Macaca mulatta: one gene and its partners. The protein of the gene in region 1 interacts with the protein of each later gene in a pairwise test. Links are inferred from orthologs where the notes say so. Each region holds a gene or a part of one and is shown in the gene's direction. Other genes may lie near its edges. The genes, in order: GEM, LZTS2, PDLIM7, AHCYL1, KCTD9 and MID2.

Region 1 (5,282 bases):
GAGTCAGTGATATACCCTTGGAGATGATCTCTCCTCACCCCCATCTCCTCCTTTTTCCCTTTCCCCACATCTGTAGCCACTCCCTGTCAGCTAAACCCAGAAGAAAAACTTGACAGAAGCAAAGGGCATCCAGAGAATTATGATCCCCAGGTTGTAGTTCCAGCTCTGCCATGTCCTAAGCGGTCATCATCTCTCTAGGTCTCAGGTTTCTTATGTATAAGATAAGTAGGAGATTGGGGCCACAAACCTGAGACTAAAGGAATTCTAAGTTTTCATTACTCTGTGTATTCCACCTTTGCTAGCTTGGGACCTAGCAGGTCTCAGCAGCTGGTCATGTAGCTAATTTCCAAAGCAGATAAATGCCTGCAGGATAACTGTGAATCGACTCTAATCACAGCAGAGTCCACTGCTTCAATAGATGCTGGTGCCTTTGGCTGCTTCCCGGAGCCACCAGCCAACCCAGAGATGAAGCTGGCTGAAAAAGCGGACGAGTATGTTGGAGAGGCCAGCATCATCTCTAAACACAGCATCTGGGAAATACCCATGTCCCCGGAAAGAGGTCATTGAAATCCTTCACTTAGTGGTGCAGTGCAGAGACTCAGGCAAACCAGGCTTTGAGTCCTGACCCTGCCACTTATACCAGCAGTATGACCTTGGGCAAGTTGTCTGGCCCTATGTCATCTTCCTCCTCCATACAATGAGGGTAGCAATTGAGTCACCTTGCAGGAGTGTAGTAAGGATTAAGGTCCCAGGAGGCCTAACAGTACCTACTAAGCAGAGGTCCTCAGAGGTACATAGTAAATGGTAGTAGTAGTTATTATCCTGTGCCCTTTGTTCACAGGAGTCTCTCATAGGGGCCGTGGGCTCAGTGCTCCTCCCCATGGCCAGGCTGTATTGGCTCATGCCCAAGGTGTAGCCTTGCCAGGGAGCCTGGTACAGAGATGCTGGTGATTGAGATGCTGATTAAATTCCCTGATTGAGGAGCCTCAGCATTCTGGCCCAGAGCAGCAGGGCCAACAACATTTAGCACAATCTGCTTGGATCCTCAATTAAATTGTTTTCCCAAACTGCCCTTTTCAAGGTCTTGTCCTCTTTCCTCACCTCTTTCTGGCCCCTTCTCTCTGGGTCCTTGCCAGAGAAGGGAAACAAAGCTTTGTGGGGCTCCATCTGCTTCCCCCTATCCAGAGAGAAGGTGACAGAGGCTGTCTTCCTTGCAGAAGATGCGGTTAAAACAAGCCTTGGCCATTCAAGGTGGCTGCAGTCTCATCCTGGAGGCTAAAGTCTCTGCGCATTCCAGGTTGATCCCTGTTTTCTTGGCAAAGCTGAGCTCTCAACTCAAACCTGCTTCTCCCTCCATCCTTTATCCCGCTAGCTTGCAAGTGTTTTGCTGGGAAGGACGATTAAGTGGCACTTAGAGTATTTTTCCATTTTCCTGTGTTCACCTGGTAAAAAAGAAAATAAAACAAAATAAAGGAGGCCCAGGATTGAACTGTCATTATTTTTTAAATGGAGAGAGAAGGGGTCATGTGACTGCGAGTAACCGATTTAGCCAAGTGGCTGCAACTCCGAGTTTGCTGCAGAGCCGCCCCCTCCCGGCGGGGGCGCTGACGTCACGGAAAAGCCCCGCGGCGGGTCGGCTGGGCTAGTTATAAACCGCCCGGCCGCGGCGGCTGTAGGCGGCGGGCACGGACGGCGGGCACAGCGCAGCACTACCCGCTCCTTGGCCCGGGTATCCCAGCGCAGACCCACGCGATACGCTGACGCCCCGACGCCGATCCGGCCGAGCCAAGTAAGGGGGCGGCCCGGGACGGAGAAGGGAGAGAGTGGGAGTTTCCCAGCCCGCAGAACTTTCGAAGTTGAGAAAAGAACCCCTGAAACGTGCGTTCTGTGCTGGGATTTTCTGGTGGGGGTCAGAGCTTCAAGTGCAAAGGATGTCGCTTCTCATCAGCAGGTTCCTTAGTTCAATTCGGTAGGACAGTCACCTCCTCCTACAGATCGAGTGGTCAGAGAGGGCAGCCCTTAATGATGCTTTATGTATTTGTTGTTTGAATGTAAGTCTGCCAACTGAGGTGCTGCTTTTGAGACTAAAAAACCAGCTGGTGGTCCTGGTTAGTGGCGAGGTGTTGGGGTATGGAGTGTGGGGGTGAGGGTGGGAAAGCACTGTTTGTGCATCTTGCTGATTGCAATGTGCCTACTTACACTTCGTCGCCAGTAGCCCGAAAAACAGACCTTCCGGCTAGGGGAGGCAGTCTGCAAAGGGAAAGTTGTAGCGAAGTTGTTGAATATCATTTAGGGTAGTCTTCAGCCTTCTGATTTGCTTCAAGAAGGGGGGCTGAGAATGGTGGCTCAGGCCTGTGGTCTCAGCACTTTGGGAAGCCGAGGCAGGAGGATCACTTGACCCCAGGAGTTGGAGACCAGCCTGGGCAACATTGTGAGACCACCGTCTCTACCAAAAAATAAAAATAAAAATAAAAAAACTAGTGGGCGTGGTGGTGCAGGTCTGTAGTCCCAGCTCCTTGGGAGGCTGAAGTGGAGTTGGAGGCTACAGTGAGCTGTGATCCTGCCACTACACTCCAGCCTGGGTGACAGAGCAAGACTCTGTCTCAAGAAAGGAATCTGAGTTGAATTAAAGAACTCTTGAGAATGGACGTGGTTTGTTAAGAATGAGGCACTTTCTGTGCAAATTTGCTAGGTCTGAACATGAGCAGATCATTTCTCTGCCAGGGTGTCTAGGTTTGGAGCTGAGATGCTTTAAAAGTGGCATCTGTGGATAAGAGGGCACAGCTGAGGCATAAACTTTAAGCAGAAAATTTCCCCTCTACCCCCAATAATGGCAGGTGGATGCTCTCCAGGCAGCTGGAGAGCATCAAAGCAACTTTACTAAACATGGAAGTTCCAATAAGTGCCTGTCCAGTCCAGCCAGGGTTGCGGTGGGGAGGGGTGGGGGTGATGTCATTGCCACGTGTTTCCCACTGAGGCACAAAACCTGCTGGACACTGGTGCAATTAAGAGCCAAGTTTAGACAAGAGCAGCTAACCTGACCAGTTGGTCCCCAGCAACATTAACTTGTTGCTTTTTAAGTCATCTCTGGAGGCTGCTGGTTCTTTCCAGCTGCCTTTGTGCCAGCTCCGAGTGCAGCTCTTCTTTGATCCAGGTCTGCTTTGAGGAAGGGGTAAGCCCATGGGCAGTGGTTGATGTTAACAGTATTATTTTTTCCATGCAAATGACAGTCTGCCTGAGGAGCTGGTTACTGACAGTGTGAGCAGTGTGTGTGTGTGTGTGTGTGTGTGTGTGTGTGTGTGTGTGTGTGTGTCCAGTTGAAAGCCTGTCTTGTTGGGCTTTGGAGACTGTTTAATTGGTGTTTTTTATGTTAGGGATACTTGCTTCTCATCTCATCTAATATAATATTACTGATGACTGACCATGTATTTGAGCAGAGCTCTCACTCATGCTTACTAATGCTGCCATCTTGGCTGCTTTGCTCCCCAGGACCCAACGATGACTCTGAATGTCACCATGCGCCAGGGCACTGTGGGCATGCAGCCGCAGCAGCAGCGCTGGAGCATCCCAGCCGATGGCAGGCATCTGATGGTCCAGAAAGAGCCCCACCAGTATAGCCACCGAAACCGCCATTCTGCTGCCCCTGAGGACCACTGCCGCCGAAGCTGGTCCTCTGACTCCACAGACTCAGTCATCTCCTCTGAGTCAGGGAACACCTACTACCGAGTGGTGCTCATAGGGGAGCAGGGGGTGGGCAAGTCCACTCTGGCCAACATCTTTGCAGGTGTGCATGACAGCATGGACAGCGACTGCGAGGTGCTGGGAGGTAGGTGTCCCAGCCCCAGTGGGCTTCTTTCCATCAGGCGTGGCCCAGGAAGAAAGAGCGAAGGTGGGTGGCTTATTTACCTGCAGAGTTGGGAGCTAAGGTTTATGCATTTTGGACAATTGATGGGGGAGCTGAGTCTCCAGAAAAGCCCAAGCACAGGCTCTCAGGGCAATAAAATGAAAAAGCTTGTAGACAGGACCAAAATCTATTGAACCTGGGCCAGAAAGGGAATTTTTCAGATTTCAATTCTAAATGGGTGGGGGAAGGCTGATTAGATTGGTCATAGCCAGAGGGTCAGCGCCCCACCTCTGACTTCTGCTGACTCTGACTTGAACATTCTTCCCGGAATTCAGTATAGGCACAGCCTTTTTCCATGGTTATACCTAAAACAAGCCAGTTGGAAAAGCTGTTAGGATGGCTTGATCAGTTTGCTTCTACCAATATTAGAAACTTTTGTGGGTGTAAAATAGTTCAAAATCTGTATTTGAAATAGTATAATAATTTTTTAAAATGTGAAGTATAACAATGATACTTTGTATAGAGTCTGACAGCTTTTCAAGACAATTTTCCCTGTACAATTTTATTTCATCTATTTATTGATTGGAACCTGGCCTATTTCCAAAACTGTTTTGAGGTGACATTATCTCAAAATGCATGTATTCTTCAGCTAGGGGTAAAGTACAGCCCTATGTTCTGCTAAGTAATATGAAGATCCTGATAGCCAATGCCGTCCATAAAGTGTCTTTCAGCCACGGCTTCAGTCTGAGCGTATGCGACCAGGGTAGTTACGTGTCCCTATTCACCGCTACAGAAATAAAGGAAGCACTGCTCAGTGTTTCCCCAAGTCACATGTTCTGTGTTCTGTCGCGACTCACAACTGAATCACAGAGTAGGGAGGTGTCTCAGCGATGACTCAGTTCTCCCCTGCATTGATGCATATTAATACTATTCCTCACTACCCACAGCCCATCTCATCTGGAGGTTTTATTCTTCTTGACTGTCTCAGTGTCAAGGAGTTCACTGCTTCATGAGGCAGCTCAGGAAGTGGGCTATAAATGATGACTCATTGATGTAACATTGATTTCTCTCCTGGCTCCTGGAATCTCACAAGAGTAAAGGGAGAAATAGGGCCAGTGTTATACAATTGATTCCCTCCTTCTTTGTAAAGGCTGCCAGGTGACTTGCTAGGAAAGAGAAATGGGAGGAAGGGACTGACATTTAGAGTGAATGTTTGCAATGGGAGAGGCACTTTGTTAGGTGCCTTATATCTGCTCATGTTTATTTTGGTCTTCACAAAGTTCTTGTATTCATGAGCAAACTAAGTCTCAGGGGGACCAAGAGCTTTATCCAGAATCACCCAATAAGGAAGGTAGATTTAGAATTTGGGATTTTATAATCTTAGTTCCGTTCATTTTACCATTTCTGGGGAACTTGCTATGTGCCAGGCACTGTGTTA
Region 2 (4,710 bases), on another chromosome or scaffold:
TATGAGGCACAGGAGCCGCTGTGCCCAGCTGTGCCTCCTAGGAAGGCTGTCCCTGTCACCAGCTTCACCTACATCAATGAGGACTTCCGGACAGAGTCACCCCCTAGCCCAAGCAGTGATGTTGAGGATGCCCGAGAGCAGCGGGCACACAATGCCCACCTCCGCGGCCCACCACCGAAGCTCATCCCTGTCTCTGGAAAGCTGGAGAAGGTGAGGACCAGCTCTTCCTTGTGGGCCTGGGTAGAACGGGAGTCCCCCTTGGAAAACTGGAATTTAGAAGCTTATATAGAGGAAAGAGTGTGGGCTCCAGATTCACCAGACCTGGGTCCTAATCCCAGCTCTCTCTCATTCTGCATGTGTGACCTCAGGGAAGTCACTTAACTTGAGCCTCAGTTTCTAGAACTGACGTGAAGGTCAAATAATGTATAGCATAGTGCCTAGCATGTGGCATGTATACAGTTGTTAAGTGCTAGTTGCTTATGTTCTGGTTATTTCTGCACCAGTTATATGTTTGGCTTTGGTCAAGGCCTTTAACCTTGCTGAGCCTCCATTTCCTCATCTGTAATATGAGAATAGTGATCATATTTAGATAATGGGGATAAACCTTTCAGATTGCTTGACACAAAGCTGACACTGGTGGCCACCTCCACCAGTGGCCGCAATTGTTACGAATATATGGGCATTGGGGACCCCAGATGGGAGGGCAGGGAGTGTCATAAGGGTTCTGCAAGATTGGGCAGCTCATCTCCACTGTCACATGGCACCTCATTTCAGAACATGGAGAAGATCCTGATCCGCCCAACAGCCTTCAAGCCAGTGCTGCCCAAACCTCGAGGGGCTCCGTCCCTGCCTAGCTTCATGGGTCCTCGGGCCACCGGGCTGTCTGGGAGCCAGGGCAGCCTGACACAGCTGTTTGGGGGCCCTGCCTCCTCCTCCTCTTCTTCCTCCTCCTCTTCAGCTGCTGACAAACCCCTGGCATTTAGTGGCTGGGCCAGTGGCTGCCCATCAGGGACGCTATCCGACTCTGGCCGAAACTCACTGTCCAGCCTGCCCACCTACAGCACCGGAGGTGCCGAGCCAACCACCAGCTCCCCAGGCGGGCACCTGCCTTCCCATGGCTCTGGGCGAGGGGCACTGCCTGGGCCAGCCCGAGGGGTCCCTACTGGGCCCTCCCACTCAGACAGTGGCCGGTCCTCCTCCAGCAAGAGCACAGGCTCCCTGGGGGGCCGTGTGGCTGCCGGGCTTTTGGGCAGTGGTACCCGGGCCTCCCCTGACAGCAGCTCCTGTGGGGAGCGCTCACCACCACCCCCGCCTCCACCTCCTTCCGACGAGGCCCTGCTGCACTGTGTCCTGGAAGGAAAGCTCCGAGAGCGGGAGGCAGAGCTTCAGCAGCTGCGGGACAGTCTGGACGAGAATGAGGCTACCATGTGCCAGGTGTGGTCAGAGGCAATGATGGGGAAGGGGCATGGCAGGACATCCCAAGGCCTGGGGAATGAAAGGGGCATTTCCATTTTAGCAGGGAAGAGGGGTTGGGTAGTTGTAGTTGTGACCCCCCTGCCCTCCCCACCAGTTGTCTGGTTTAATTTGTGGAATAGCCAGACGTGGTGGCTCACATCTGTAATCCCAGCACTTTGGGAGGCCGAGGTGGGCGGATTGCTTGAGCTCGGGAGTTTGAGACCAGCCTGGGCAACATGGGGAAACCCCATCTCTCCTAAAAATAAATTAGCTGAGTGTGGTGGCATGTACCTGTAGTCCCAGCTATTTGGGAGGCTGAGGTAGGAGGATCACTTGAGCCCAGGAGGAGGAGGTTACAGTGAGCTGACATTTTGCCATTGCACTCTAGCCTTGGGTAACAGAGCAAGACTGTATCTCAAAACAAGAAACAAAAAACAAAACTTGTGGGGTGGAAAGGAGTCAGAGTGCATGGATTCAAACCTCCCACTGCTAAATACCAGTTTTTGGACTTGAGCAAGTTGCTTAACTTTATTCAGCCTCTATTTCTTCATCTATAACAGGGATATTTCTAGCTTCATAGGATTGTTATGAGGATTAAATAAGGCAAAAGGTGTAAAGTGCTTAGACTAATGCCTGGTATCTAGGAAATGCTATACATAAATGCTTGCTTTTTTTTTTTTTTTGAATTTTTAGTAGAGACGGGGTTCCCACCATGTTGGCCAAGCTGGTTTCGAACCCCTAGCCTCAAGTGAGGCACCCGCCTCGGCCTCCCAAACTGCTGGGATTACAGGCCTGAGCCACTGCACCCGGCCAAGTGCTTTTTTTTTTTTTTTGAGACAGGGTCTCATTCTCTCACCCAGGCTAGAGTGCAGTGGCGCGATTTCGGCTCCTTGTAGCCTCAACCTCCTGGACTCAAGCAGTCCTCCCACCCCAGCCTCCCAAGTAGCTGAAACTACAGGCACACGCCACCACACCAAGCTAATTTTTGTTCTTTGGAGAGGCAAGGTTTTGCTGTGTTGCCTAGGCTGGTCTCAAACTCCGGAGCTTAAGTGATCCACCCACCTCGGCTTCCCAAGATGCTGGGATTACAGGCGTGAGGCACCGAGCCCGGTCTGCTTGCTCTTGTGTTTGTTTCTATGATCATTATAAAAGCAGTTAGTATTGTTGCAATTACTATTGTTGTTTGATGGAATACACCCTTCCTGAGCCCTCAGAAGTGGGCCGCCAGGCAGACACTGAGTGGGGAGTTGGGAAAACTGCCCAGGAGCTGGGTCTGTCTTCTCGCCTGCAGGCATACGAGGAGCGGCAGCGGCACTGGCAGCGAGAGCGCGAGGCCCTGCGAGAGGACTGTGCAGCCCAGGCACAGCGGGCACAGCGGGCCCAACAGCTGCTGCAGCTGCAGGTGTTCCAGCTGCAGCAGGAGAAGCGGCAATTGCAGGATGACTTTGCACAGCTGCTGCAGGAGCGTGAACAGCTGGAGCGGCGCTGCGCCACCTTGGAGCGGGAGCAGCGGGAGCTCGGGCCAAGGCTTGAGGAGACCAAGTGGGAGGTGGGCCAGACCAGGAGGGGCAGGGAGCAGGGTCACACAGGGAGAAACCCTGGAAAAAGGGGCCCAGCCGCACCCTCCCTCAGCCTGCCACCCCCAGAGGTCCTCCCCTTCCTCACCTCCGTGAGATGAAGTTCTCCTCTGTTCCTTTCTGGGAGGAGGGTCTCCTTGTTGGCCTTGTCTAGTGGCACAAAGCCACGCTCCAGCCAGTAGTAAGAATGTGGTGTTTGTGGTGTGGAGGCACTCTTCTAAGCATGTTACATGGGACAGATCATTTCATCCTTATAACAACACTGAGGGGGCTACCACTAGTCTCCCCATTTTAGAGATGAGTAAACTGAGGCCCAGAAAGACTGGAGTGCCAAATCTGAACCCAGGCAGTCTGGCTCCAATATCTGAGCTCTTAACCAAGTCACTGTAGTACCTCTCCAGTAGACACCTGGGTACTGCCCTCCATTGCCCCCACTCCTGCAGCACCTGCCAGCACCCAGTCCCCAGGGCTCGGTGGTACTTCCACAGTGTCTCGTGATGCTTTGAAGACACCAACTTTGAAGCAAAAAAATCTATGTCTGCTTTCCACTTAAGCCACATCTTCACTCTATGACCTTGGACATGTCACTAGACTTGCCTCAGTGTCTCCATCTATAAAATGGGGATAAAGATGGACTCTCCTCCCGAATGCCCAGCATGATGCACAGGGCCTGTCCCCCCAGGAGAACCTGTCTCACCATCCTTCCCCACTGCCTCCCACCCCCAGGTGTGCCAGAAATCAGGCGAGATCTCCCTGCTGAAGCAGCAGCTGAAGGAGTCTCAGGCAGAGCTGGTGCAGAAGGGCAGCGAGCTGGTGGCCCTGCGGGTGGCACTGCGGGAGGCCCGTGCTACCCTGCGGGTCAGTGAGGGCCGTGCGCGGGGTCTACAGGAGGCCGCCCGAGCTCGGGAGCTGGAGCTGGAAGCCTGTTCCCAGGAGCTGCAGCGACACCGCCAGGAAGCCGAGCGGCTGCGGGAGAAAGCTGGGCAGTTGGATGCTGAGGCGGCTGGACTCCGGGAGCCCGCTGTGCCACCTGCCACCGCTGACCCATTCCTCCTGGCAGAGAGTGATGAGGCCAAAGTGCAGCGGGCAGCAGCCGGGGTTGGGGGCAGCTTGCGGGCCCAGGTGGAGCGATTGCGGGTGGAGCTGCAGCGGGAGCGGCGGCGGGGTGAGGAGCAGCGGGACAGCTTTGAAGGGGAGCGGCTGGCCTGGCAGGCAGAGAAGGAGCAGGTGATCCGCTACCAGAAGCAGCTGCAGCACAACTACATCCAGATGTACCGGCGCAACCGGCAGCTAGAGCAGGAGCTGCAGCAGCTCAGCCTGGAGCTGGAGGCCCGGGAGCTTGCGGAGCTGGGCCTGGCTGAGCAGGCCCCCTGCATCTGCCTGGAGGAGATCACTGCTACTGAGATCTAGGGCCCTCGGCACCCAGCTCTGCAGGGAGCTCTCCCAGAGGGGCAGCAGCTGCAGATCCACTTAGGCCCCAGGGCCCACGGATGACCCCAAAAGCTGAGGGCCCCAAAGCCACTTGTCTCCTAGGATCCAGGCCTCTGGGATTCTGCCAGGAACTTGGGATGGTCCTTTGACTTGGAGGAGCAAGATCAGACCGCTCGAAGGTCCCCGTGTTCACTGTCACCCAGAGGCTCCTGTCACTACCCACTTCATTCCCCACCGCTGCCAGTGC
Region 3 (3,488 bases), on another chromosome or scaffold:
TCTCCTGCTTTTTATTTCTTTATGTATAACGATAGGGTCTTGCTCTGTTGCCCAGGCTGTAGTACAGTGGCATGATCACTGCTCACTGCAGCCTTGATCTCCTGGGCTCAGAGGATCCTCCCACCTCAACCTCCCAAATAGCTAGGACTAGAGATGCCCACCAGCATGCTCAGCAGATTTTTAAATATTTTTATAGAGATGAGGTTTTGCTATGTTGCCCAGGCTGGTCTTGAACTCCTGGCCTCGAGCAATCCTCCTACCCTGACCTCCCAAAGCACTGGGATTACAGACGTGAACCACTGTGCCCAGCAGATTTCACTTGAGCACCTAGATTTCAGCCTGAGCCAGGCAGGCGTTCCTGAATGAACCAGTAGCACCGTTGCCAGAAGAAGAGGTGCTCCTCCGTATGACACAGTCCCCACTTGACCCTTGCAGGGATTGGATCTGGGATCCCTGGATTTAAACTCAGGGCTATCCTCATAACAGCCTCACAAGGCCGGGATTAGCTTCCCAGTTCACAAGGGAAGAAACCAAGACTTGAGAAGGTCAGGGTCTGGCCAAACCCACAGATCTCTGACCCTCATGCCGCCTTGAGGCCCCATGCTGCCCTCTGCCTGCTCCAGAGGTGAATACTGCTGGCCCTGGCTGGCCCCGAGGCTCCTAGCGAACAGCCCAGCCCAGGGAGAGCTCAGCACCTTGTGCCTCTGGCCCCTCCCACCTCCTGCGGAGCCTAGTCAATTCACCCACAAAGGGCCAGGCACTGTGGGGCTAGATCAGCTAACAAAACAGTTGATGCTTCATGCCCTTCTGGGCCTTACGTTTTGGCTGGAAGAAGAGGGGAGAGGCAGACAGTAAGCAATAAGCGCAATAAGTAGACTGCCTGGAAGTAATGTTAGATCACATTATGGAAAACAGGAAAGAGTAGAGCAAGAAGCGCTTGGGCGTGGTGTAGGGAAGGCAGCTGGCTGCTACTCGTGTGGTCAGGGTGGGACCTCGTGGAGAAGACTGCATTCGAGCGGAAACTTGAAGGGGGTGAGGGGTGAGCCTTGAGATATCCGGGGCAGAGCAGTCCAGGCAGAGGGGACAGCCAGTGTCAAGCCCAGGACAGGAGCGTGCCGGGTGTGCCAATTTCAGGCAAGAGGCCAGTGTGCGGAGGCAAGGTGAGAACGCAAAGGAGAGCAGTGGGGGAGACAGGTGGGAACGAGGTCAGACCTGCTGGCCTCCAGCGTCTGCATGGGGCTTGGTTCTTGCTGGGAGAAATGGGAAGCGGTAAGGGGTTTCATGCAGGAGGATACAGACTGTCTCGGGTTGCAGGGGTTGCAGGGGCCTGCTGCGGCAGCTGGGATCAGAGGGAGGAGCTGTAGGCCAGTTGTGTGTGATCCCAGGGGCCAGATCGCTGTGGCTCACCTCGCATCAGGGAGGCTGTGAGCAGCACGCAGAATCTGGATATGCCTTGGGGGTGGGCCCCACTGGATTTCCTGGGGGACCTGGTGTGGGGTGTGGGAGGAGGGTGTGTTTGGCTGCAGCAAATGGGAGAATGGAGTTGCCATCCGTGTTACGGGGATGCCTGTGGGAGGAGAGGTTTGGGGCGAGGGGATCAGGAACTGAGTACTGGACATGGCAGGTCTGAAGGCGCAGTGGACATCCACTCAGAGACCTTGGAGATGGAGATGGAGGCATGGGAGTCCTGAACGGTTAGATGTAGTGTTTACTATGAGAAGGAACAGGGCCCGCGGCCAGCTGCCCTGTGTTCCCGTGACCCAGGGGAGGGCGGGAGGGGCCTGAGCCTGCCGAGTGACTGGCACCTCCTTCCAGGAGATCATGCATGCCCTGAAGATGACCTGGCACGTGCACTGCTTCACCTGTGCCGCCTGCAAGACGCCCATCCGGAACAGGGCCTTCTACATGGAGGAGGGCGTGCCCTACTGCGAGCGAGGTACCTGCTGGCCAATGAGGGTGAGGAGGGATGGTGCATGGGGCAGGCATGAATCCAGGTCCCCTTCCTCTCTGCTCCCATCCTCAGACTATGAGAAGATGTTTGGCACGAAATGCCATGGCTGTGACTTCAAGATCGACGCTGGGGACCGCTTCCTGGAGGCGCTGGGCTTCAGCTGGCATGACACCTGCTTCGTCTGTGCGGTGAGAGCCCCGAGCCTTGGCCTCAGCCCCAAGTCCACCAGCCCTCTGTTTATTGCCTGGGGGATGCAGGAGAAGCTGGGAAGGGGCCTCTACTGCTGCCCCCAACCCCATGTGACTGGGCCTTTGCTGTCCTTAGATATGTCAGATCAACCTGGAAGGAAAGACCTTCTACTCCAAGAAGGACAGGCCCCTCTGCAAGAGCCATGCCTTCTCCCACGTGTGAGCCCCTCCTGCCCACAGCTGCCGCGGCGGCCCCAGAGCCATGGCCTGGCATTTCTGGGTAGGGCTGGCAATGGTTGCCTTAACCCGGCTCCTGGCCCGAGCCTGGGGTTCCCCGGCCCTGCCCCACCCGCCTTATCCTCCCACCCCACTCCCTCCACCACCACAGCACACCGGTGCTGGCCACACCGGCCCCCTTTCACCTCCAGTGCCACAATAAACCTGTACCCAGCTGTGTCTTGTGTGCCATTCCCCTGTGCACCCGGAGGGGTAGAACTTGAGTCACGTGGCAGGGTGGAGAGTAAGAGGGATTTCTTGGGCTGGCCATCTTGGTGGCCCTCGTGATGCGGACGTGGCAGGCTCATGGTTAGTGGAGGAGGTATAGGCGGGACCCCATGTGCCAGGCCTGGTGCCCACAGACATGAGGGACGCCACTGGTCTGGCCTGGCTTGGAGGTTAGAGAAGGGTAGTTAGGATGGGCGTGGTGGATCACGCCTGTAATCCCGGCACTTTGGGAGGCCAAGGCGGGCAGATCACTTGAGGTCAGGAGTTTGAGACCACTCCGGCTGACATGGAGAAACAACGTCTCTGGTAAAAATACAAAATTAGCTGAATGTGGTGGGGCGTGCCTGTAATCCCAGCTACTCAGGAGGCTAAGGTGGGAAAATTGCTTGAACCCGGGAGGTGGAGAGTGCAGTGAGCTGAGATCATACCGCTGCGCTCGAGCCTGGGTGGCAGAGTGAGACCTGGCCTCAAAAAAAAAAAAAAAAAACACACAGAAAGGTAGTCGTAGTTGGGGGTGGATCTGCAGAGATACGGGGTGGAAAACAGCAATGGCCACAGCAAAGGCCTGGAGGGGCCAACTGCCGTCCAAACAGAAGATGGGACTGGAGAGGGTAGCCTTTAGGTCCCGGGAGGCCACAAGTGCCAGGCAGTAGAGCTGGGGCTGTCTCTTGAGGTCAGGGCAGGGCACGGCACAGCAGAGTTTGAAATAGATTTGTGTTGTTTTCTAGAAAGAGGCCCCAGGACACTGAGCGGGTACAGGAGGGAGGCTGGGAGGAAGAGTTGCAGCAGTGGCCTAGGGGCGGGGGCCAGGCAAGGGAGGGGCAGAGGGTAATATGGCAGAGATG
Region 4 (5,492 bases), on another chromosome or scaffold:
AGTCTGAGTGCTCAAAAAAGTGAGCAGATGAAAGAATTCAAATAGTTCAAGAGCAAGATCTGCAAAGAGTGTATTCTTCCAGGCACTTCTACAGCCCTTTTCAAACAGACAGTCTCATGAGGCTAGGTGGCTGGAACACAGGATTCCCTGACTAAGACTTTTAGGGCCCTAGAGGTGAATATTTCACACTCTCCCCAGCCCTGAACATTAATCAGTGGGGAAAATGTCATTTCAAACCCAAACTTCCTTCTTGAATGGGTATGCCCTGTTAAAAACCTGGGAGTTTTCTGGATGTTAAAAGGTGGTCCTGGCCAGGTGCAGTGGCTCACGCCTGTAATCCCAGCACTTTGGGAGGCCGAGGCGGGTTGATCACGAGGTCAGGATTCGAGACCAGCCTGGCCGAGATGGTCTGTCTCTACTAAACCCTGTCTCTACTAAAAATACAAAAATTAGCTGGGCATGGTGGTGCACGTCTGTAGTCCCAGCTCAGGAGGCCGAGGCAGGAGAATTGCTTGAACCCGGCAGGCGGAGGTTGCAGTGAGCCGAGAGCACTCTAGCTTGGGCAACAGAGAGAGAAAAAAAAAAAAAAAAAAAAAAGTGGTCCTGGGGAGGAATTTAGGGAAAGGACACTGGAAAGACTAGAATTGCTCAGCACAGCAGAGGAGAATCTGGCTTCCCAGAGTCCATCAAGGAAGGAAGGATGAGGTGCAGGGATGGGAAGGGAGGAACAGGAGGAAGCTAGATTAGATGGCAATGGGCTAGGGAGCGTAGTGGGATCTTGTGGCCATTGAGAAATCCCTGGGTGGTGAGACAGCCAAAATAACTTTTCAGAACATTTCAGAAATGTGATCTTAAATTGTTTGCTCTGTGATGTAATCTCTCCCCTGTGACCCACAAACCTTTATGAAAAGTTTTACTACATGTTACAGCCTTATTTTGTATTTGTTTAGCATGGGGTGGGGGTTGAAAGAAGAAGCAGCAGAATTGACCCCAGGAGCTACAGAAACAGTCACAAGATCAGAATAGTGAATAAAATGCCAAACAAGGCAAAACAACAACAACAGCAACAACAAAAAAGTAGAACCAGAGGTGACCATGAAAATCCAAGTCCTCCCAGTAATTCACAGAAATCCCGGGGAGGGCACTGGACTTTCCACAGGACATGGTAATTAGAGCCAATGTCATTTGAATCTCAAAGGACAAGCTACCTCAGCTGACATTAGGTTACAGGCAGGCTTTGCCTCTCCAGCTGAACTAAGCCTTGCAAAACATAAAATGCGTCACATGCCCTTTTGCCAGCAGGGCCTTAGCACAGGCACTGCACATAGTAGGCCCCGTAAAAGGGTGTGAACGGTCCATGAATGTCCTGGATGCCCACTGAGAGCTGTAAGAGTCTAATGCTTTGGTGGAGCAAGGACCGGAAAGCCATTCTGGCTGGGGACTTCTCCATCAGCTCTCCTGGTCTCCACCCTCATAGCCATCAGCCCTATTCCAATGAGGGTTTTGTAAACAGGCAAGGCCCAGTCGGAGATGATGGTGGAGGAAGTCACAAAGGGTTGTGCAGAAACCAGACTACTCTGAGTCAGTTCTGCCCCCTATGAAGTCAAAGAGGCAGGCACTGCCCCTTGGGAAGGAGCTTTAATACAAACGGCCTGGGGCTGGGGCAGTGAGTGAGTGAGTTGTCTCAAGCCCCGGACTTTTCCTAGGAATGGTTGTAGGATGTGTCGTGTTGGGCTCTGGTCTTTGCTCCCAAATACCCTTTTTATGCGCCGCTGAGGCCTCGCCAGGAACCCCGCAGCCCAAAGACCCTCCGTTTCGCAGCGTCGTTGCATGAACCACGCGCTCCTCCCAGGGCTGATGGTGCCACCTGGTGGCACAAAGAGTCCTGCTCACTCTGGGAACTTCGCTCTCGAGCGGGAGAGAAGGAGCGGCTTCTGTGGCCCAGCCCAGCGTGGTGACGTCACGACAGAGTGCCGTTTCTCCCCGCCTCTTCCCCCTCCCGGGAGCTGCCAGTACTTGACGTGGCGTCACCACCCTCTACCCTCGCTTTGCGTGCGTGTTTGCGTACAGCGGAGGTGGCGGCGCGGGCAGGTCGGAGCTCGGAGCTGCTGCTTCTGGTTCTCTTGTGGCCGCCGTCGCTGTCCGGCTGCCTTGAGCTGCTGAACAGACGAGGCGTGGGCCACAGCACCTCAGAAGCCAACGCAGCTCGACGCAGGGCCCGGCGGGAGGGTGGGCGATCGCGTGTCGGAGGGCGCCGCGCGGGCAGGCGGGCGGGCGCCTGAGGGGGAAAGAGGCGGGGGCGGCGGGTCAGCCGCGGGCCGGGCCGGCCGGGGGATGTCGATGCCTGACGCGATGCCGCTGCCCGGGGTCGGGGAGGAGCTGAAGCAGGCCAAGGAGATCGAGGACGCCGAGAAGTACTCCTTCATGGCCACCGTCACCAAGGCGCCCAAGAAGGTGCGGGGGCTCTGGGTGGCGGCGGGGGCTCGGGCTCCGGCCTCGCGGAAGGGACGCGAGCAAGCCCGGGCTCTGGCTAGTTTGGGACTTCTGGGGCTGGGGTTGGGGTGACTGGGGACGGCGGAGGTGATGTAGGGGGTGACGGCTATGCGGCCCCAGGCCTATCCCGGGTTGAAAAGGCCGCCTCTGACCTCGCTTTCCTTTGTCCCTCGGCCCAAGTCCTCCGGGATCGTTTTGAAACCCGACAGGGCCAGGCCTTAAATTTGCGACTGACTTTTCCTAGATGAAGGTCCTCGAAGACGAGAGTGGGAGGGGGTGAACCAACTCAGTTGACCCTGTGACCGGTCCGGGGGCATGGGGTGTACAGAAAATCTCCTTTCATTTGAGTGGGTAAATCTGGCAGAACTTCCGTCAGATCTTTGGGAGCAGTGGTCGGTTTATCCAACAACTGCGTGATAGCTGGGAGGCAAGAGAAAAGAATGCGTGAAGCTAGCTCTGATATACAGGTGAAAGCAATGAGAGTAACATGAAATTGAAAATCTGTGATTTTCACTTTCTACAGCCTTCCAGTTACTCCGAAATATGTAAGAAATTGACATTTGGAGGGTGGTGACAGCAGACACTGTCATGGATACAGGTGGATCCTAGAGTCATGTGAATAGATTACTTAGGCATCCCTGGAGAAAGGAGCTTGGGTGGGTTGGAGTGGTGGGTGGTAAGGAAAGATTGCTCACTCTTGACTGTACTTTTGAGGCAGAACAAGTTTGATCTATTGTGCTGTGGGTTGAGCTCAAAGGACACCCTTAGAATTCTCTCATAAATGGCAACCTTTGAAGATGTTAGTCTCACTAGCTCTCTGAGTGGTGGAATTGGGATCCTTATTGCTTTCTGATCATTTACTGCCAGCCACATCTTGATTATCCATACACCTGGCACCCAGTTAGCAGTAGATCAGAGAACCTTTACGAAGAGGTGACCTTCCTGAAGCCAGTGAGAACCCAGATAAATGTCTCCCTTCTCTATAAAGACGGAGTGTTACAAAGCTGTGTCTGCCTGTATGCAGTGTTTAATAGGATGCAGGGCTGAACAAAGCAAGGGCTGCAGGAATAGTTAAGTCCTTGAGGCTTCAACTAGTTAAGCTGTCTTAAGTGGGAGAGATGGCTTTTTTTTTTTTTTTTTAAGTGAATTAACCTGCCACTCCAGAAATCAAATGCAGGATTAAAAAGACAAGTCGCCATTGTGTGCTTTCATTCTGTTTTTTCACAAAATTAAGAATTTAATTCTTTAAAAGGTTGTGGAAGATCCCTTGACTCTGAGGCATCTGATTAACTTTAGTGCTGTCAGTTCAGTTGACTGCTTTGTTGGGACAATGACCCTTTGCAATCTGCACTATTCTTTGGAGAAACAGTCAGTCCTTATAAGCAGAATGATTGAGAGTGGGACCTTAGGTGAGTTAGAGGAAAGAATGGAAAAGCCCTAATACCTGAATTTCCTAGACTCTGACATCTTTGCTCTTACTTGCCTTTATGTTAGTAAATCTCTATTCTTGAAAGTACCTCTGTTGATAAGACAAAGTCTATATTGTAGATTGTAAAAACTCATTAAGGCAGGAATTCTTGTTCACCTTTGTATCCAGTGTGCCTAGCGTTGTACCCAGCATATAGTAGGTACTCAAATATTAATTGCCCACCTGGCTAACTAGTAACTGAGATGTCCATATAGCTACCTACCAGGAATAACTATCCCTTTTCCCCTCTTCTTCCCAGGAGGAATATTACTAATGTGTATTATTGTCAGGCCAAGTGCTGATGATTTTAGACTTACATTGCATTAGCTAAAAGAAGCAGGCTTTGCCAGGAATGTGGGAAGACCCCGTTTTAAGTTTCCATTTGCCAGTAAATGTGCCCCACCGTGTTCCTTATTAATCTTTCTGGGTTTTATTGTTCAGCATTTACGTAGTACTTTGTAATAAAGTGTTTTATGATGACTAATTACCCTTTCCCTAGTGATGATAAAAGACATTTATTTAGTTAATGGATCAGTTGAGGACTAGTCAAGGTCACATAGCAAGTCCTAGTCTGTTTTTCAGAAGTGCTGAACATTATGACTTAAGTCACTTTTGTACCTCTGCCATGTGTTGATAATGTGAGAAAGCATGGGAAAAGTAAGAGGGAAAAAAGTAACTTGGCGTGGTACTTGATGGTGTAGAAAAAGACCTCTTCAAATGGTGCAGTCCTTCACCTATGAGAATTCTACCCTGGCTCTAGACCAGTAATCCTTGGATTATTCTGAAGCCCTGAGGCCGGCCTCAGGAATTGAGGATGTTCTTGATACCAGAGAATATAGGTTACTTCAGGGTGACCTTGATGATCCTCAATTAGATCAGATCCCAGTGTCACTTTCTGGTCAGCTTTTATGCATTTTGTTTGCTTTGTTTGAGATAGAGTCAGTTTTTATTCATTTTGTTTGCTTTGTTTGAGATAGAGTGGATGTCCATCAATTAAAAGTATAAATATCTAGATTCTTCAACTATAATCATGACTTACTCAGTTTTGTATGCCAAGGTCTGTCACACTGCTGTGAACAAAATAGGACTTGTTGGTTTGATTGAAGATTTCAGATATCTGGGTGTCGAGAAGTCAACTAAAGGGGTATGACCTTGAGCAAATTAATTAGCTTTTGTACCTCCATCTCATCTGCCAAATACATGCCTATTTTTTGGAACAGGTGGAGATAGGGGCATGTTGGGGAGTTAAGATAGCAAGTGTAATTTTTTAAAAGTCTTATTTATATATTTATATTCTTCAATGGGTATTTGAAGTGGCTTATAACACAGAACCTATATGTGATATAAGAGGAAGTAAAAACTATAGAAAGAATGAAAAAAATATTGTTAACCTCGAGGGCTAAGATAGTTGATGAGGTCGATCACATGCAACTTTAAACTTTTAGCAACCAGAGGATAAAAAGAATCATAGTTACAGTCTCCTTAGCAGGCATGGGAAATAATACATGTCAGTTCCTCAAGAGGACAACTT
Region 5 (5,273 bases), about 77 Mb from region 1:
TGTGATTTGATCACAAACCTCATTCAAGACTGAATTGTAATACAGTCCATACTGGCATAGAAACACACGTCGCAGGTTCCATTTTTTATTTTAATTTCTGTGGGTATACAGTAGATGTATATATTTATGGGGTACGTGAAATATTTTGATACACGCATGCAAGTCGTAATAATCAAATCAAAGTAAATGAGGTAGCCATCATCTCAAATATTTATCCTTTTTGTTAAAAACAATCCAATTACACTTTGTTATTTTTAAATGCACAATTAAATTATGGACCGTCACCCTGTTGTGCTAGCAAATACTAGATCTTATTCATTCTATGTTTTTGTACCTGTTAACCAACTCCACTTCCCTCCCACTCAGCCCCAATACCCTTCCCAGCCTGTGCTAACCATTCTTCTACTCAAAGCGCGTACTTTTAAGGCCAAATTAAACAGAAAGAAATGGAGGAAACTGCTGTTCAGGCACCAAAGCAGACCCCAAAGGATAAGCCATGGCTTTTCAACCGAAGTGAAGACCTGAATCATAAGGGTACCCGTCTCAAGACGCAGCTCCGTCCATTTCCAGAAATTGTCTCAGCAGGTCCGGATGCACCCCTGGTCACCCAGAGCAGCTCCTGAGAGGAGTACTAACTCTGTGCTGCAGGGTAAGCCGAACAAACGCCATAAAAACGCCCCGGAGAAGCAGCCCCATGGCAGGGTGGCTGCAATCCTACCTCTCACGCCGCACCTGAAGGCCCGCCAGGCAGATAGGCTTAATCTCAGAGCCCCGAGGCAGGCGAGCTTCGCGTAGGTCGCTGCTTCCAGACCCCGGCTCCTCTGTCCGGAAGGGCTCTGCTGGCAAAGCACCCGTAGCCGGGAACCGCTCTCCGAACAAGGAGTCCAGGGTCCCTGAGGCCGACTCGGACTCACACCCCGCGCAGTCCCTGTCTTTCGCTCCGCCCGGCCGCCTCCTCCGCCCGCCGCCCGATTCAAATTCCCGGCCCCGCCCCTCGATGCCGAACTTACTCTACGAATCACTCCGCTACCGCCCCTTTCTCTGGTCTGCGCACACTCCGAGCCCTCCCAGTGACTTCCTGGGCTCGGAGTGGGGCCACCGCGAGCTGCAGTCAACCCGCCGACCACAGACACCTACTACTGACCTGTGACCGCGGGGACTACTTTCCAGGAGAGTCTCGCGGAGTAACGCTTCTGTTAGCGCTTTAACTCCGCCTCCCACCTTTCTATTGGATGCTGCAAACTTCGAAAAGACTCATTCAACCAATCCTAACAGAGCGAAGAGCTGGCTCTTACCCAATCACTCCGTCCCTACCGCAGCCGTTTCCTCGCTGGGCCGGCTTGTGGGCGGGGCTAACGCAGGAGGAGGGGCTGACTGGTGCTTGGGTCCCTTTCAGCGCTCCACCTCCTTTCCGTAGACCCCGCCCTCGTATGCAGATGAGCGCTACCTAGACTTGAGTGTGCGCCTGCTCAGTAACGCTGTAAGTCGCCGTCCGGCTCCAGGAGCCTCTCTGATTGGCTGATGCCCCTTCCCGTCTACTAGCCTTCAGCGTCTCTTCCCTCCCTCCATCCCGGCTAGGTTAGCCAGGGCCCGCCCGATACTGGGTGCTGATTGGCTGGACCCTGGCCGGTGACGCAGGTTGGTTGGTAGGCTGAATGTCAGTCTCGGAGAGGTGGGGGAAGGGCCCCAGGCAGGCTGAGGAGCCTAGGGGCGGGGTGGGAAGGAGGACCGGCCGAGCCCTGGGTGTGGGACAGAGTGCGTGTGTGTGGTGTGTCCCCAAGGGCAGGAAGGTGGCGAAGGGAGGCGAATCCGAGTGGGTGGAGGGAGGGGAAGGGCGGGAGGAGAAAAAGGTGGGAGTAGGACCAGGTGGGAGGGTGGCGGCTCACTCAGGACCCAGCGGGGGCAGCGCGATGAGGCGGGTGACCCTGTTCCTGAACGGCAGCCCTAAGAACGGAAAGGTAACGGGGGCGTGAGTGGGCGCGGCGGGCCGTGGGTCGGGGCGAGGGTGGAGGGTGCGGACCCGGCTGGCGGGGCAGCCGTGAAGTTGGGCAGAGGGGCTGGGAGGTGGGCGTGCGCGGGCTGGGGGCGCCCGGGGACAGCACAGGGTCCCCGCGGCCTCCTCCCGACCCTCAGGACCCCTGTCCCCGAGCCTGCCCTTCGGCGCCTCAGCTGCCTGGGGGCCGGCGCGGGTCGGGCCGGGGGCTCCGGGGCTCCCGGATGCGCGGTGCAGGGGGCGCGGGGACTGGGGAGCGGAGAGGGCCGCGGTCACCTGGGCGCCCGGGCGGTCGCGCTTCTTCCCGCCTGTCCCCGAGACCCCGCTCCCGCCTGCGGGAGGAGGCGCGCCGGCTCCCGTGCTGAGTAATGGTCTGCTCGGAAAGTGGCGGCGAGCACCAGAGCCTGTGGAGCTGGGTCAGGGAGACAGAAGTAAACTGCCCGTGGATAAACAAAATCTCCCATCCGAGGTCGAAGACAGGATTTTAAAAATGGGGGCATTTTCTTGTTGATTTTTGCCCTTCTCTCTGAGATGCCTCAAGCCCCCACTCCCCGACGCCGCCAAACTTCTCTGTACTCGTTTTATTATTTTGCCTTATTTTGATTCCCTAGAGGACGGGGACAGCAGACCCAAAAGGGATCGATTTGACAGTCGCCTTTGCTGTGTTAGGTAGGCCTTTGCGGAGGGTGTGGTGCTAAGTGTTCTTCCAGCGCTGGAGCAAGCCAAAATGAATTCTCTTCCTTCCCAGCCTTTTGCCCCACCCATGAAAGTTGTTCTGCTACTTTGGGAAATTTTGACTGTTCAAGGCAGACATTTACTGCGTTGCTAAATGACACCCAGAAGTAACTCAGCCTTTACGAGTCTAAGGTAAAGGTAAATGGGTTTCACTGTGTTAGTTGCCAAAATACTCTGGTGCCTGCACATTCGGGAAACACTGTAAATTTTTAAATAGTGAAATTGTCCAGTGGCATTAAAAATGGCTTTCCCATTATTCAGTGTAGAGTAAACATGCCCTGAAAATTCGAACCAGAGTGTGGTTTGTTGGCTATAATTTTGTGTTCTTCTGGTCCTAGAGATTTAATACTCATTTTAAAACAGAATTGGTATAAATTCGAGTTCTCGAGTTATCATGAATGCTACCCCGAAAATATGCTCACGAAGTTTACATTTCTCATCACTATTAACTTTTTCTAAACCTGTTCTGTAGTTAGCTGGTGTTATCTAAAACGTATGTTGTTACTCTAAGATTAAAGATTGAGTATATCCAAAATTGGTAATATTTCTCAAAAACAAACTTCCGATTGACCTTTTTAATGCAGTATCTCTGCTATGTTACTCATGGAAGACAAATATTTAGACCTAGTCATAAATATTTTTGCTCTAAATCTCTCCCGAATCCACTCAATTTGGTTGTCAAAAATTAACTGAGTTGGTCTTTCCATATTGTTCACACGGATTTTTTTTAAACTATCTAGTTTTGACTACATTCTTGGATTTAAATTTTATTTACTTTAAAAATATTCTGCTAGAGAATCTCAGAAGATTGGGGGAAATGCATCTCAAATAATTAAATATGAATATGTTCATGTTACAACGATCATAAAAATCCAAACTGGAGAATACTAGATAAAAAGAAACAAAGCCGTGATCTTCACTGCTCAGCTGATGAACATATTCTAAGATAACGTTGGCAGTGCTTTCTCTCCTTTCAGTTGATTAAAAAATTTTATAATTACTCTTATTTGACAAAAGAGCTACATAATACATAACAGCTTGCATTTTTATATATAAAGTGACTAATTGGATTGGCATGATCATGACATGAATGTTCATTAAGAATAAGCTAGGGAAAAGTGCTACTCAAATAGAACAGAATTTGATTTCCCATCCACCAGTTGGAATATCTGTACCACTTACTTTATCTCCTTTACCTCGCTTCTGCTTTTATTTCCTGGTTATAAGAATAATCTGTTTTTTTTCAAATAAGTTTCCCTCTTATAGCTTGTTTAGTGGTTACCAGACTGTGGGACTATAAAGCCCGGGGAAAGGTGTGGAGAGGCAGAGAATTCTTCCAAGGTGCTGTGTTACATGCTCACCACGAATTTTCTGTGTATTGAATAAATGTAACTAGTGGTGAATGTATTTGATGTTGGAGAGAGGGCTATGCATTCTCTGAACAGTGGTTTCCAGAGTGAGATGGCACACCACGGACGGTGTCCAAGATGATTTATTGGAGGTCAGGAAGAAATATACCTTTTGTTTGTATCTTACACTTAAAAATATAAAATAATATGGAAACGTGATTTTTTGGATCTGGAAAGACACAGGTGCCTCCAGTCATTGAACATGTCAGCTGGTCTCAGGTCTCCTGTAAGAAGGGAGGGCCTTCACATGTGAAAAGGTTAATTAATAGTGGCTTCTTCACTGATTGGTTGTCATTGACATTGTGCTGTGGAAGCTTACAACTGCCACGTTAAGATTTATATCTAGTTTTAACTAAATTAACCCTCACCAAAATGCCAAGTGATCTTAAAGGATTACTTCAAAGAAACTGCAGCTTGAAGTCAATATGAATTATGCAAGCACAAGTAAACAATGAGGAAATGGCAGGAGCTGCCACTTCTCCTAGTATGTATAAACCATGAGACTAAAAAAAGAGTGGATCTCTTTGGGCCTGAGAAGTTGAAACAGTGCTGAGTTTTCAAGAAGACTAGTTGAAGTCCTATTTATTAATTGCTATTAATAATCAGCCTCTCCCTAAGTGTATGTTATTCTTTGAAATATTAGCCATTGACAGGATGAGTCATCCTAGTTAGCAAGATATTTAGAAATACTTTCTAGGACATGAAGACAAATGGCTTCAGATTTTTTTTCTTTTCTGATTTTATTTTTTGGTTTTCGTTTTTTACTTTTATCTTTATATTTATTTATTTATTTGATACAGCGGTTTGCTCTTCCACTCAGGCTGGAGTGCAGTGGCGTGATCTCAGCTCACTGCAACCTCCACCCTCCAAGTTAAAGCTATTCTCCTGACTCCGCCTCTTGCATAACTTGGGACTAATTTTTGTATTTTTGGTAGAGACAGGGTTTCACCATGTTGGCCAGGCTAGTCCTGAACTCTTGACCTTAGGTGATCCACCTGCCTTGGCCTCCCAAAGTGCTAGGATTACAGGCATGAGCCACCACACCCGGCTTATTTTGATGTTTAAAGTCAATCCTGTATTTGGCAGAATTTCACTAAATTTAATGATAAATATTTAGGAGATTCTTACTGGCTGAT
Region 6 (5,364 bases), on another chromosome or scaffold:
TCTTTTTGAGATCCTGTTTTCTATTTGCTTGGCTATATACCTGGAAGTGAGATTGTTTAATCATATAGTAGTTCTATTTTTAATTTTTTGAGGAACCTCCATCCTATTTTCCATAGCAGCTACACCAGTTTACATTCCCTTGGGTAGTGTCTGTACCATTTTACAATGGTGTTCAAGGGTTCCAATTTCTCCACAACCTTGTTAACACTTATTATTTTCTGTTCTAATTTTATTTTTTGTAGACACGTTCTCTTCATGTTACCCAGGCTGATCTCTAACTCCTGGCCTCAAGTGACTCTCTTGCCTTAGCATCCCCTCCTGAGTAGCTGGAATTACAAGTGTGAACCACACCTTGCTGTATTTTCTTCTGTTTTTTTTTTTTTTAAATTTTTAAATTTTTATTTTTATAGTGACCATCCTAATGGATGTGAAATGATATTTCATTGGGGTTTGACTTGCATTTCCCTGACAATTAGTGATGTTGATCATCTTTGCATATGCCTGTTGGCCACTTGTATATCTTCTTTGGAGAAATGTCTATTCAAGTCTTTTGTCCACTTTTAAGAGGTTTTTTTTTTTTTTTTTTAATTGAGCTATACAAGTTCTTTATACATTCTGGATATTAGCACATTATCCGATATATGGTTTGCAAAAGTTTTCTACCATTTTGTAGGTTGCTTTTTCACTCTGTTGATTGAGTCCTTTCCTGTGCAGATGTTTGAAAGTTTTATGGTCCCATTTACCTATTTTTGCTTTTGTTGCCTGGACTTTAGGTGTTACTCACTACCTTTTACTTCTCTTAGGGGCCAGACTTTTTTTTTTTTTTTTTTTTTTTGAGACGGAGTCTCGCTCTGCCGCCCAGGCTGGAGTGCAGTGGCCGGATCTCAGCTCACTGCAAGCTCCGCCTCCTGGGTTCACGCCATTCTCCTGCCTCAGCCTCCCGAGTAGCTGGGACTACAGGCGCCCGCCACCTCACCTGGCTAGTTTTTTTGTATTTTTTAGTAGAGACGGGGTTTCACCGTGTTAGCCAGGATGGTCTCGATCTCCTGACCTCATGATCCACCCGTCTCGGCCTCCCAAAGTGCTGGGATTACAGGCTTGAGCCACCGCGCCCGGCCGGGGCCAGACTTTCATCAGGGCAGCCTGGTTGTGATTTTTGCCTTGGTTTCCACCTCAGTGATCTCTAGCACATTGTTTCACAGGAGTGTTGACTGATTACTATTGGTTTCCTGAAGGGATATACCAAGAGATACCTCAATTTTTCTGGGCTTGTTCTTATGCACAATGATGGCAGGCGTGTGTGTGTGTGTGTGTGTGTGTGTGTGTGTGTGTGTGCGCGCGCGCGCGCGCGCGCGCTGGGGCAGGTCCTCTCATTTTCTCATTTCTTTCCCCTTGTTCTCTCTTTTTGCCCCAAGTTAGAAACAGAGTCTCTTATGGGGCTTCCTGCTCTTTCCCTCTCCCATCCACCTTTTGAGTGGGGGTCACTCCAGACCAATGGGAGGATGCTGGATTCCAAATGGACCAATTAGCTTATTAGGGACCTGGAATACCTGGATAGCTAGCATCTGCCTCATTGTCCTTGTGGTAACGACCCTCTTGTTTTACTGGTCAACAATTTGAAGGTACAAGAAAAATCCTGCTTTTTTTTTTTCTTTTGATGGCTTTAATCCACCTTCACAACTTCTGCCCGAGGCCAATAAAACACAGCCATTCTCTCTTTGTAAAAAGAAAGAGGGGTTGGGTTTCCTTCAATTGTCTGCCCTTTTCTATCTCCTCCACTATTTTTGTTTTACTCTGTAGTTAACTTTGCATAGAGCAGCTTCATGGAGAGGATCTGTGCGGTGGACCCGGGCACTCTCTTCTTATTACCGGTTGCAAAGGCCTCTTCCTTGTTCTAACCTGGGGTTTGTGGGGCTGGGGGACAGAGGAGTGGGGAGTGGGAGAAGAGTTTAGCCATAGTCTTCCTTCTGCATTTCACACACATTCTGCTCTCTCTGTCGCTCTGTCACTCACACACACACACACACACACACACAACACACACATACACACACACACACCCGCCCAGGTCCCTCTCTCTGTGTCTTCCTTCAAGATGACAGGGCGCTGGAGAAAAGGCTGCTGGAATCAGCTGGTAGGTACAGTAGTAACCCGAGCCCCACCCACCGGCTGCCTTTGCTTGCTCAGGTTTCTCCGGTCACTCCTGCCAGGGGAGAAGACATGTAAACGTGCCTCCAGAGGAAGGGCTGGGGGAGCTGGGAGTGGCGGGGGCGGCGGAAGGTGAGCCTGGGAAGGTGTCCGAGCGCCCCTTCTTCTTTGGCCCTTCCCAGTGCTCCCTTGGGGTGTCAGCCCCAACCCCGTTTGCCCCCACTCCGCCTCCCTTTTGGAAGGGATTGCCTTTTTTTTTCCTCTGCGGCGGCGGAAATGACAGTGTGGTGCTGCCGTGGTGTCATGGTGCTGCCCCTGGACTGAGGGGCGAAAACTCTTAACTTTAGCTCGGGAGACCCAGCCGCGGTAGCATCGCGGCCGCCGTGCTATCCCCTGCGGGGCGCGCGGGCTGGCGGATCCCGGCTGCTGCGCGGCGTCGGCGACGGTAGCGGCAGCTGCAGCGAAGGCGGGCGGCGGCCTAGAGTGGTGGCGGCGGCGGCGGCGGCGACCGGGGCCCTGGAGCTCGCGCCGGAGCCCGAGCTAGCCCGCTGCGGAGGCAGACGAGCGCCCAGCGCCCTCGAGCGAGCAGAGGAGATGGCTGGCACCTGGGAACGCTATGGGTAAAACGCGCCCCCTCGCCGCGGCCCTGGAGGTCGAGCGTCGTCGCCCTCGCAGGGCTCGGCCCTGGCTCCGGCCGCTTTTCAGGTGCCGCCGGGGCCCGGCGTTAGCCGAGGGCTCTCGGGCTCGGCGGGGCAGGGTGATGGGGCCCGCGAGGCTCGAGACGGCGACGGGGGCCCCAGATCAGCTCCGGCTCCCAGTCATGCTGTTGGGGCTCGGGTTCCTGCCACTGCCCTCCTGGGACAGAGTTTGCACTCCGGGGTGCGGGGCGGGGGCGGCCGAGGCCTCTGCGCAGCCGGGCCGGGCCGGGCGCGGGCAGTCGAGCGAATCCTCCGGCGCCTGGGCGCGAGTCTGGGAAAGGGCACGGCCGCCTTCCCACGCTCCCGCAGCCGGCAGCCTCTTCGTCCCCGGCGTCGCCCCTTGGCCGGCCGTCTGCCGGGCGGTGCTGTCGCAGCAGCCGGCGTGGCTGCGGACGCCCTGCCGGCGGGGAGGCCCGGTGAAACTTAATCCCTTTTCTGCCAGGGGAGCGATCCTCGAGTCTCCGTCTGGATGGTTCCTTATTTCTGGCCTAGCTGTGAAACCAGCTCTGTGGGGGAGAGGGAAAACTTACATATGTCCACAGGACAGACTGCGACGCAACCAGGGAGAGTGGGGATTTTCCATTCCTGCCTTGTAAGAATTAAGTAAATAACAGCAGAGTAGATTTACAGGAATATTACTGGTGATGATAAGGTTTAGGTTACTTAGCACTTCGTGTGTTGCACATTATTTTTCAGAAGTGTTGCTTCTTAGAGCAGGAAATTGAAATCCTGGAGTCGTTTTACTCTTTACTTTCTCTGTCTCTTCCACTGTCCCCTACCGTTTTCATGATCACTCACCTTCCTATGTCACAACACTTACATGACTATGGAAATCCCCCACTAGAGCGCCTTGGACCCCAGGCTTTCCCCATCAACCTGTGCCCTCCCAGCCTCCCAGCCATGCTGCATCTTACTTCTTCAACCACTTTGCCTTTTGAGGATTTCTGAGTGTGGGGCGGATAGATGGTGATGGTTGTGTGTCTCTGAGGATGAGCCCTTATAAAGGAATATATTGGAAACTAAATAGAGAAGTACCGTGTGTGGGTTGATCCCTCTGATTCTCAACTTGGGCCAGAAGGGCTGCCTTTAACCCCATTCTGCTCCGTCCCAGTACTCTAATCAGTTCTCTGGCAATATTCCAATAGAAGGGAGTTGCTGAATAGGGAGTTCTCCTCCCCTACTTTTCTTCTGTTTGGGGAGTGGTTTCATTCTACCCCAGATGGTTAGCTTCCCCCTCCCCACCCCCCCGACACTCACATCCCCCTGTCTGTCTCCTCTCATGACTGTACTGAGGGAGAAACTGTCTTTGCTATTTTTATATATTCCTGCCCAATCAATGAACTTAACATGGGTATATAATGTGAATTAGATTTCTCCTGATTGCTCCTCACAACTTGATTCATGTGTTTGATAAAGTTTGGATATTTATCCCTGCCCAAATCTTATGTACAAATGTAATCCCCAGTGTTGAGGTGGGGCCTGATGGGAGGTGACTGGATCATGAGGGCAGATTTCTCATGAATGGTTTAGCACCACCACCTTGGTTGACTGTGAGTCCTTGTGATAGTGAGTAATCTCTCCTGAGATCTGGTTGTTTAAAAGCGTGCGGCACTTCCCCCCAGCTCTCTTTCTCCCTTGCTTCTGCTCACACCATGTGAGAATCTCCTGCTCCCCATTTGCCTCCCTCCATGATTGTAAGCTTCCTGAGTCCTCCTCAGAAGCAGATGCTGGCATCACACTTCCTGTACAGCCTGCAGAACTGTGACCCAATTAAACCTCTTTTCTTTTTTTTCTTTTCTTTTCTGTTTTTTTTTTTTTTTTTGAGAAAGGGTCTTGCCTCGGGCTTAAGCAATCCTTCTATCTCAGCATCTTGAGTAGTTGGGACCACAGGTGCATGCCACCACACCCAGCTAATTTTTGTATTTTTTGTAGAGATGGGGTTTTGACATATTGCTCAGGCTGGTCTCGAACTCCTGAGGTCAAGCGATCTGAGGGCCTCACCAAGTGCTGGGATTATAGGCAAGAGCCACAATGCCCAGCCTACCTCTTTTATTTATAAACTACCCAGTTTCAGGTATTTCTTTAAGGCAATGCAAGAATAGCTAATGCAGTGGTTAAAACACAGGTCCAGGAGTCAAGAAGATCAGAGTTCATCCCAAATCTGATGTTACATTGGCTTATGGCTTTAGGACATTCCTATGACTTTTCTTTCTTAGTTGGTGCACTTGTGTAAAAGCTATAATATTGTGTACTGGGTATTGTTAGTCTTGACTTGGTCCTTTGAAGATGAAAGGGTTCTGTAAACCCTCAGCATTATAATTTTTTTTCCCCTTTGAGATGAAGTCTCGCTGTGTCACCCAGGCTGGAGTGCAGTGGCGTGATCATGGCTTGCTGCAGTCTTGACTTCTCTGGCTCAAGCAATCCTCCTATCTCAGCTTCCCTAGTAGCTGGGACTATAGGCACACACCATCACACCTAGCTAATTTTTGAATTTTTTGTAGAGACAGGATTCACCATG

The links.
Region 2: the proteins of GEM (region 1) and LZTS2 interact in binary tests that used the Homo sapiens proteins (3 or more experiments, as listed by UniProt). The two-hybrid records come from large-scale screens. The link is inferred for Macaca mulatta from reciprocal best matches to the Homo sapiens genes GEM and LZTS2.
Region 3: the proteins of GEM (region 1) and PDLIM7 interact in binary tests that used the Homo sapiens proteins (3 or more experiments, as listed by UniProt). The two-hybrid records come from large-scale screens. The link is inferred for Macaca mulatta from reciprocal best matches to the Homo sapiens genes GEM and PDLIM7.
Region 4: the proteins of GEM (region 1) and AHCYL1 interact in binary tests that used the Homo sapiens proteins (3 or more experiments, as listed by UniProt). The two-hybrid records come from large-scale screens. The link is inferred for Macaca mulatta from reciprocal best matches to the Homo sapiens genes GEM and AHCYL1.
Region 5: the proteins of GEM (region 1) and KCTD9 interact in binary tests that used the Homo sapiens proteins (3 or more experiments, as listed by UniProt). The two-hybrid records come from large-scale screens. The link is inferred for Macaca mulatta from reciprocal best matches to the Homo sapiens genes GEM and KCTD9.
Region 6: the proteins of GEM (region 1) and MID2 interact in binary tests that used the Homo sapiens proteins (3 or more experiments, as listed by UniProt). The link is inferred for Macaca mulatta from reciprocal best matches to the Homo sapiens genes GEM and MID2.

The regions. Positions count from the first base shown.
Region 1 is NC_133413.1:104,656,083-104,661,364, reverse strand, and holds the start of GEM (GTP-binding protein GEM), read left to right. Parts: upstream 1-1,636; 5' UTR 1,637-1,789; exon of another isoform or gene 1,790-1,878; intron 1,879-2,999; exon of another isoform or gene 3,000-3,172; intron 3,173-3,489; 5' UTR 3,490-3,498; coding exon 3,499-3,889; intron 3,890-5,282. UniProt on the Homo sapiens protein: Could be a regulatory protein, possibly participating in receptor-mediated signal transduction at the plasma membrane. Has guanine nucleotide-binding activity but undetectable intrinsic GTPase activity.
Region 2 is NC_133414.1:113,066,277-113,070,986, forward strand, and holds the end of LZTS2 (leucine zipper putative tumor suppressor 2), read left to right. Parts: coding exon 1-210; intron 211-774; coding exon 775-1,434; intron 1,435-2,746; coding exon 2,747-3,004; intron 3,005-3,758; coding exon 3,759-4,442; 3' UTR 4,443-4,641; downstream 4,642-4,710. UniProt on the Homo sapiens protein: Negative regulator of katanin-mediated microtubule severing and release from the centrosome. Required for central spindle formation and the completion of cytokinesis.
Region 3 is NC_133411.1:186,467,595-186,471,082, reverse strand, and holds the end of PDLIM7 (PDZ and LIM domain protein 7), read left to right. Parts: intron 1-1,815; coding exon 1,816-1,936; intron 1,937-2,023; coding exon 2,024-2,139; intron 2,140-2,275; coding exon 2,276-2,362; 3' UTR 2,363-2,595; downstream 2,596-3,488. UniProt on the Homo sapiens protein: May function as a scaffold on which the coordinated assembly of proteins can occur. May play a role as an adapter that, via its PDZ domain, localizes LIM-binding proteins to actin filaments of both skeletal muscle and nonmuscle tissues.
Region 4 is NC_133406.1:130,211,688-130,217,179, reverse strand, and holds the start of AHCYL1 (S-adenosylhomocysteine hydrolase-like protein 1), read left to right. Parts: upstream 1-2,114; 5' UTR 2,115-2,334; coding exon 2,335-2,454; intron 2,455-5,492. UniProt on the Homo sapiens protein: Multifaceted cellular regulator which coordinates several essential cellular functions including regulation of epithelial HCO3(-) and fluid secretion, mRNA processing and DNA replication.
Region 5 is NC_133413.1:27,201,553-27,206,825, reverse strand, and holds the start of KCTD9 (BTB/POZ domain-containing protein KCTD9), read left to right. Parts: upstream 1-1,835; 5' UTR 1,836-1,910; coding exon 1,911-1,958; intron 1,959-5,273. UniProt on the Homo sapiens protein: Substrate-specific adapter of a BCR (BTB-CUL3-RBX1) E3 ubiquitin-protein ligase complex, which mediates the ubiquitination of target proteins, leading to their degradation by the proteasome.
Region 6 is NC_133426.1:114,595,897-114,601,260, forward strand, and holds the start of MID2 (putative E3 ubiquitin-protein ligase MID2), read left to right. Parts: upstream 1-2,133; 5' UTR 2,134-2,764; coding exon 2,765-2,768; intron 2,769-5,364. UniProt on the Homo sapiens protein: E3 ubiquitin ligase that plays a role in microtubule stabilization. Mediates the 'Lys-48'-linked polyubiquitination of LRRK2 to drive its localization to microtubules and its proteasomal degradation in neurons.